2 linked regions of the Oryzias latipes genome follow. The protein of the gene in region 1 purifies or fractionates together with the protein of each later gene. This does not show direct contact. Links are inferred from orthologs where the notes say so. Each region holds a gene or a part of one and is shown on either strand. Other genes may lie near its edges.

What was found.
Region 2: the proteins of NADPH--cytochrome P450 reductase (region 1) and emc4 purify together in Homo sapiens (affinity purification with mass spectrometry; 3 studies listed by BioGRID and IntAct, with this or other methods). This does not show direct contact. The link is inferred for Oryzias latipes from reciprocal best matches to the Homo sapiens genes POR and EMC4.

The regions. Positions count from the first base shown.
Region 1 is NC_019871.2:22,326,265-22,330,081, reverse strand, and holds part of NADPH--cytochrome P450 reductase, read left to right. Parts: intron 1-211; coding exon 212-260; intron 261-571; coding exon 572-700; intron 701-958; coding exon 959-1,111; intron 1,112-1,981; coding exon 1,982-2,106; intron 2,107-3,817. UniProt on the Homo sapiens protein: This enzyme is required for electron transfer from NADP to cytochrome P450 in microsomes. It can also provide electron transfer to heme oxygenase and cytochrome B5.
Region 2 is NC_019876.2:21,393,671-21,398,234, forward strand, and holds the start of emc4 (ER membrane protein complex subunit 4), read right to left. Parts: upstream 2,979-4,564; 5' UTR 2,837-2,978; intron 1,395-2,836; exon of another isoform or gene 1,377-1,394; 5' UTR 1,350-1,376; coding exon 1,249-1,349; intron 1-1,248. Other genes in the region: ubiquitin carboxyl-terminal hydrolase CYLD, read right to left, coding at 4,385-4,564. UniProt on the Homo sapiens protein: Part of the endoplasmic reticulum membrane protein complex (EMC) that enables the energy-independent insertion into endoplasmic reticulum membranes of newly synthesized membrane proteins.

The sequences.
Region 1 (3,817 bases):
TAATGCGCATTGTATTGCCTCTTTTTGTTGGAATACATGACTAGGAAGCGTTTATGAAGGCCTTCTTGTGTCAGAGCTACTTTGCAAATGTATATATTTCTTTATTTGTGTGCCACGTGTTTTTTTTTTTTTAAATAATTACTGATGTGGAACGTTCAGCTGCATGTTTACAGACGCTTTTTGTTTTTTATTTTGTTTTTTCCCCATACAGACAAGTCTCACAACGAGAGACGAGTTTCATTGAGAAGATGAAGAAAACTGTAAGTGAATTGGTTTGTCAGCTTCATCTACTTTTAGCTCCTAAGCACTAAATGTCCTTTTCCTGTTGGCTACAGCAGACTGGATAGAAAGCTCTGAATCTCAGAAACATTTTCTAGATTATTTTATTACTTCTGTTCCAGTCCTGACTCTCTTCAGGTAGTTTAAATAAACGCCTTTAGGCTCTATTTTCAGTATTTTTTTTAATTTTTTTTTTACTTGCAAAAGTACAGGAAAAGTTAGCTGTGGTCTGGCCTGTAGCCGTGTGCTTTAGCAGGACAGTGTAAAGAAGGTTCTTTATGTTTGTGGACAGGGGAAGAACATCATCGTGTTCTACGGCTCCCAGACGGGAACAGCAGAGGAATTTGCCAACAGGCTGTCCAAAGATGCTCAGCGCTATGGCATGAAAGGAATGGCTGCTGATCCAGAGGAGTACACCATGGTAATGTGGACCAGTGGGCCCATGTCTAACACTTTCATGTTGTAAAGTAGTACTGTCAGGGTTCTTACTTTTTCCTCAATAAAGTGAAGAAGCACACAGGAGATGAGACTTTTTGCTAGACTTCTGCAGAAGGAGAATCGGTCTGTCACAGCGCGAACTGTCAGAGGAGTTCTGCATTCCTAGTGCATGGAGCCTCTTTTTATTGAAAACGGAAGGTTGCAGACATGAACGTGGTTAAAACGACGGTTTTGGTTGCAGGGGGAACTGGCCCGTATGTCTGAGATCAAGAACTCACTGGCTATTTTTTGTATGGCCACTTACGGTGAAGGCGACCCGACGGATAACGCCCAGGACTTCTATGACTGGCTGCAGGAGAACGATGATGAAGACCTCTCTGGACTGAACTACACTGTGAGTTTCTCCCTGCAGACCCTCCATAAGGCTAAAGTAACCCTTAAAAAAAAAGAGCCAAATCCATAACAATGTAATACCAGAATATTAAGATTAAAATTAAAGTTCTAGAACCCAGCTTTCACATCTAAAAGCCAGGGCTGCAGGGTCAGGAAGTTGTGAGCACTTTCACTTCACAGCCAGAAGGCTGTGGTTTGAATCCCAGCTGGGTCCTTTCTGCACGCGTTGGTTTTCTCTGGCTGCTCAGGTTTCCTCCCACAATCCAAAAATGTGCTTTATAGGTTAATCGGTCTCTCTAAATTGTTGTGAATGTATGTAAAGACCTGGGATGGACTGGTTACCTGTCCGGGCTTTACCCCCACCTTTGCTTCACAGTAGCTGGGATAGGCTCCAGCAACCCGTTTGTTACAATATTTCTGAACATGTGGCGTCTTTTGAGTTTTTCTTTTTTGTTTAGATAATTTTTTGTCATTTCTTGTAGCGATTAGAAGGAAAATGGTCGGTCTAAGTTTGTGTTAAGGTGAAAGACACAGTTGTAACAACAGGAATGCAGCATTTGCAAAGACGCCTTTTAAGTAATTCTGACTTCTAAATCTTGCAGAGATACGAGTCACTTCTGTTCGCATTCAAGCTGCATGTGTGCTGCAAGAGTGGCTCTCTCTGTTTGTGTTTGTGCGTTCGATAGGATCTTCCATGTCAGCAACACACTAATTAAGCTCTGGAGCAACATTAAGCCTCCTCCTTTCCCTGTTTTATCACAGTGCTGAGATGAAACGGAAGGCAGAGTCATCATCATCATGATCACCATCAACGTGTCCTGGTGTGGACATTAGCTACCAGTGTTGCTTCATGTTGTCCTTTATTCTCCAGGTGTTTGCGCTGGGAAATAAAACGTACGAACACTACAACGCGATGGGGAAATACGTGGACAAAAGGCTGGAGGAGCTTGGAGCCAAACGCATCTTTGATCTCGGTTTGGGAGACGACGACAGCAAGTGAGTCACCTGCTAACTAAGACTATTGTAGATCCTCACAAAATGTCACACATGTCGTGAACCTCATTTGTTGATGGACCACTAAAGAAAAGATGATGCTGTTCTTTAAAGTGGAAAAATAAAAGCATTTATTATGGCCACCTGAAGAATGAAAAGCAGTACAAAAATGATTCATTTCTCTGTTTTTTGCCACTATTTTAATTTGTGTACCAGTAAATGTTTTTCAGTAGGTTTTTAGTAAAACTGGCACTTAAATTACTGGAACAAATCCATAATAATGCTCATTTACAGATTTTCTCTATTTAATTTCTTTATGGATGAGTTTAGTATTTAGTATTGAGGAGATTGATTTGCGAGTTTGGGAAAAACATGGCGAAGCCGAACAAGAGCTGCATAAGGCAATAATTCCATCCATCCATCCATCCATCTTCCTCCGCTTATCCGGAACCAGGTCGCGGGGTCAACAGTCTAAGCAGAGATGCCCAGACTTCCCTCGCCCTGGCCACTTCCTCCAGCTCCTCCTGGGGACTCCGAGGCGTTACCAGGCCAGCCGACAGGCGTAGTCTCTCCAGCGTGTCCTAGGTCTTCCCTGGGGCCTCCACCCAGTGGGACATGCCCGGAACACCTCCCCAGGGAGGCGTCCAGGAGGCATCCAGACTTTCGATGTGGAGGAGAAGCGGTTCTGTATTGTACTTGTATTCGAACCTCGTTCTTTCGGTCATGACCCAGAGCGCAGAGCCATAGGTAAGTATTGGAACGAAGATCGACCGTTGCATTGAGAGCTTTGGTTTTCGGCTCAGCTCTCTCTTCACCACAACGGACCGATACAGCGACCGCAAAACTACGGCCGCCGCTTCGATCCACCTGTCACTTTCACGCTCCGGTCTCCCCTCACTCGTGAACAAGACCCCAACATGTTTAAACTCCTCCACCTGGGGCAGGGACACTCCACCCACCGAGAGATAGCAAACTACCTTTCTTCGGTCGAGAAGCATGGCCTCAGATTTAGCGTTGCTCATCCCAGCCGCTGCACTCTCGGCCACAAACTTCCCCAATGCACGCTGGAGGTCCCGGCCCGACGAAGCCAAAAGGACACCATCATCTGCAAAGAGCAGAGATGAAACCCTGTGGTCCCCAAACCAGACCCCCTCCGGCCCCTGGCTACACCTAGAAATTCTGTCCATAATAACAATGAACAGAACCGGTGATGAAGGGCAGCCCTGCCGGAGTCCAACGTCCACCGGGAACAGGTCTGACTTACTGCCAGCTATGCGAACCAAACTCCTACTCTGGTCATACAGAGACCGGGCAGCCCTCAGTAAGGCTCCCCAGACCCCATACTCCTATAGCACCCTCCACAGGATACCACGGGGGACGCGGTCGAACGCCTTCTTCAAATCCACAAAACACATATGGACTGGATGAGCAAACTCCCACAATCCCTCCAGCACCCTAAAGAGGGTGTAGAGCTGGTCCACTGTTCCACGACCAGGACGGAAACCGCACTGTTGTTCCTGGATCTGAGTAGGCCCACCACCCGTTGGAGACCTCAAAAGAGGCCGGTGCAATGTGGTTTGGGTGGCAGGCGAGGGCGGGTGCCTCGGCGGCCCAAACCCCGGTCATGGAACTTGGCAATAATTCATAGATTGGTTTTCTTTTAAAGTCTTGGTTTATTTTGAAGAAATTTTTTTTTTTTTTTTTATTATATGTC
Region 2 (4,564 bases), on another chromosome or scaffold:
CTTTCAACACCATCCAGCCTTCACTACTGAGGAGGAAGCTGGAGGATGCAGGTGTGGACCAACATCTGGTTGCTTGGACCATCAACTACCTCACAGACAGGCCACAGTTTGTGAGGCTGCGTGACTGTGTGTCTGATGTGGTGGTCTGCAGCACGGGGGCACCTCAAGGGACTGTGCTCTCCCCATTCCTGTTTACCCTGTACACATCAGACTTCACCTACGACTCCCACCACTGTCATCTGCAGAAGTTCTCAGACGACAGTGCCATTGTGGGCTGTGTATCAGGGGGGGATGAGCAGGAGTACAGGGGGGTCATCACTGACTTTGTTAGCTGGTGTGAAGTTAACCACCTGCTGCTTAACACCAGCAAGACGAAGGAGCTGGTCCTGGACTTCAGGAGGTCCCCTACACCACACTCACCGGTGAACATCCAGGGTTCAGACATTGAGGTCGTGGACACATTTAAATATCTGGGTGTTCACCTGAACAACAGACTGGACTGGTCCAACAACACGGATGCTCTGTACAGGGGGGGTCAGAGTCGCCTCCACCTGCAGAGGAGACTGAGGTCCTTTGGCGTGTGCAGACAGCTGCTGAGGACCTTTTACGACACTGTGGTGGCCTCAGTGGTCCTTCATGGAGTTGTGTGCTGGGCGGGGGGCAGTGCAGGCAGAGACTTGAAGAGGCTTAACAAACTGGTCAGGAGGGCCGGCTCTGTCCTGGGCTGCACACTTGAGTCCATCGAGGAGGTGGCGGACAGGAGGATGTTAGCTAAGCTGACATCCATCATGGATAACCCCTCCCACCCCCTGCACCAAACTGTAGAGGCGCTGACCAGCTCCTTCAGCACCAGACTGTTGCACCCTCAGTGCAAGAAGGAGCTACTGCAGGTCATTCCTCCCCACAGCCTTCAGACTGTACAACACTGTGTTACAGTGACACACTACAGTCCCAGGGGTGTTTTTCATTCACTCATTTATTTATTTACTTTTGTTGTAGTTGTTGTTGTTTATCAAATGTTCTTGTTCCTAAACGGTGTTTGATTGGTGTGTACTTTTTTACTTATCTATTTTTGGAAATAAAAAATAAAAAAAAGTATCACCTTTGCACTGGATCACACGCCACCTTTGTAGCTGTATTTATTTATAATGAGAATGTCATTTTTGCATTTCAAGGTCCTGGAGGTCCTTGCCAGTCTCCACATCGCAACCCCAAAGAAACTCTTTGGAGGGAGGAGATCCCACTCACCTGGTGTTTCCAAGGCTCAGCTCCAGAGCCCACTTCATCCTCCGCGTGGCCCCGCCTCCTCGTGTGGACAAAACCCCTCCTTGCCCCCCTGGAGACGCCATGGCAATAAATCAACAAAATTGCTTGACCTCAGAGGAAGAAAGCACCTGCAGAGGAAGAAACAGAAAAGGTTTAACTTGTGACGGATCAATGATCGTCATACATGCTGCTCCATTATCTACAACATGATTCAGTCGGAATATTTTCACCTCCAAAATATCAATATCAACCCCCGCCTATTCTGCCTCAGTGTGTGTCTATAAAGTTTTTATGTGGCCTTACAAAATAATTCCTCAATAATATCCACCCAAATCATCATAAGGACTCCTAACCACATCACCCTCATCCTGAAAGAACTTTACTCATTCTGCTCCTCAACTCTTGAACTCGCTTCTATCTGAAACATGATTCACTTCCTGTCTTTAAATCAACTATCAGAACTCTTCCTAGAACTGAAATTTTCCCCTCCATTTGTTTCCTTATCCTCTCTGTTTCCCTAAAATAGGAGTATTATTTTTATTATTTGTCTCTTGCATGTACAGTGTGCTTTGGTGTGTTTAAAAGCACTTTCTAAGTAAAATGTATTGATATTAAAAAGAGGATGTGAACATTGCTGCTGATGAGAGTAAAGACATCACAGTTGCTTCAGTGAGTCTTGAATCTGTGGTGTTGCGTAACTGTTGCAGTCTTTTTAATGTTGTAGTATTACCACTTACATTCATTCACTCCAACTACTTTAAAGTTGATTGGGTATACCCTCTCTGTTGACTATTGTATACATTATGACAATGTCTTCCTCCTGCTAGTTTGTTGTTTTCTTCATCAAAATACCTAAAAGTTTAATTATTTTTACCCTTCAACATCTTCTGCTTCAGTTTTTTTCTGCTTCCTGATCTTATTTGTTTCAAATTTCAAAATAAGAAAATAGTTGGGCTCAGGTCTGAATTCGAAACCAGGGTGGTGTCTCAGATTTGGGTCTCTGTGACCCAGTTCTCCAGACTATTCATCTTTTCAAACCTTAACTCCTTTTTGATATTATTAATATAATAATAAATAATAATATAAATTTATATTCATCATTTTTAAACATGGGTGTGGGAGTAGGATTTTGAGTGAATTCACTGCATCTAATAGACACACTTTTATTTAAAAAAAAGTCTTCAAAGAAATACATGCGTTGAATTAGTAAGGGTGAATAGCCAACGGAGTGTGCAGTATCAGAAATTAACGCAATACAAATGAACCCTTCCTTAATGCACACCCAGCAGCCAATCAGAATCGAGAATTCATCAGGACCATGGCATGGTGGAGGGACTGCGACAATTTGCTCTGACCGCCGTCATTTGCCGCAGCGACAAAACTACAGGCAGCGGCAACAAAAAGTAATAACCGTTACTAAATACCGGCAGGATACTAGATTACTTTGTCCAAACGAGCCTCGGTTTGAAATGTTTTATTTAACCGACTGTTCGGAAAAGACAACGAGCCGAGTTAACGGCGCAGATCCACTCTGTCCGGACTGAAGAATCTAAACTGAGGCTCCCCCTACCTCACGGGGACACCAGCGCACCCACGGCCGCTCTGCAGAGGCTTATTCCGCGGCACAATGTCCGAAAAGAAGAGCTGCTGTCGCTAAAACTCGACCAGTCAACAAATTTACCTTCTAGGCCCTCAATGATGACGCAGTCAGGCTGCGCAAAGGAAGTGACGTAACTACCCTTGCCCCAACCAAATAAGAGAATCTAAAACAATGTCGAGAGAAAAAATACTCACCAAGTTAAATTTAGATGAAGAATTTTTAAAAACCCGAATAAAACTAATAAAGGATTTTAAAACAAAGTAACTAAGTGAATATATTTGATTTTAGTATCAAATGCCTGATTTGAAAAGTCCATCGATTGACAAACACATTACTCCTTAGGAAATCATAAAACAAAAATATTTCTGTATTTTTAACAGTAACTGAAAATCTTTGTTTGTGAAGCACATGTAAAAGTAGTTTTGGGATTATTTCTACCAAATTAAAAGCAACAATTTTTTATCATGGATTTCATAGGAGTAAAAACAAAAGAATAAATAAAATGAGTCATTTCATATTTTTGGTAGTCTTTTATTTTTGCCGGTGGCTGTTATATATTAAATCAAAGTCAGTATCTATGAAGTTCAAACACCTGTGCGCAAAAACATAATTCTGTACAAACTCTGAGAAATTTGTGAAACAGTGCAAGTTCTATGGTCAGGTTCTGGTGAGTCACAGCGGTACTTTGCAGCACATGTACATTTTTAAAGGTTGTGGAAATATTTCCCAGCATGCTGCTGTGCTCACAATTGCTCATAAGGCTCGCGTCCTGAGGGTTACTGCTTTCTTGTTCTTCCAGCTGTGTGGCTGGTTTGGAGCAGAGCAGCTTCATCTACAATCAATACAGGTATAGAGTGAACGCTGATCACAGAAGGTGCAATGAATTGGACAGTTATTAATGATTAAACTAACTCCCATCTAGGGATAAACCAAGTACAATCTTGATTTAAAAAAAAAAAATGTAAAGTCTGGGTTGATGATCCAGTGTTGGACACACATGTGCATTTTCAGCTGGGAGGAGAGCTTTAATCAGTTTCCATGCGGGAACCTCCCAAATGGATAAATAAAGTTGTCTATCTATCTTTACCATCGAATCCCATTAGAAGTAACAACAAACTCCTTTAATAAATCCCAGCGTTTGTAATCCCCAACAGTCACTGCTGCTCTCAAGCTCTTTCCTAAATCCATGCAGGAATCCTCCTCTGGTCCCTCTCTTTGTTTCCAGACAAACCATCATTTACAGCTGACAAATATACAGAATAAATAAAAACATCAAACCTTTGGGACAAGGTATTTAGTTTGTTTAGATTGAAAATGCTGTTTCTCTGATTGTCAGTGTGAAACTGCAGATTTTATGTCCTTTAAAATGAAAGAACCATGGTCCCAGTTTCAGAAGACACACCCCACATCTGCAGACTCCCCCCCATCTCACACACACTTTAAACGAGAAAAGCAATGTTTTAAGTCTCAGCAGAGAGGAAGGGCGGAGTACAGCTGCTCAGTCTGCAGGATGGCTGATCACCGGTACAGGCTGAGTTCAGGGCTGTGGTACAGACACATGTATGAGTCACAGAGTAGGCGGCGGACCGTCTCCCGCAAGGAGGCGGGGTCCACTCTGCTCAGCTCCTCCTCTGAGAGACTGAGGTAGCGGCCAACCTCGGGACACGCCTTGACTTGGGGGATATTGAAGCCATTCTG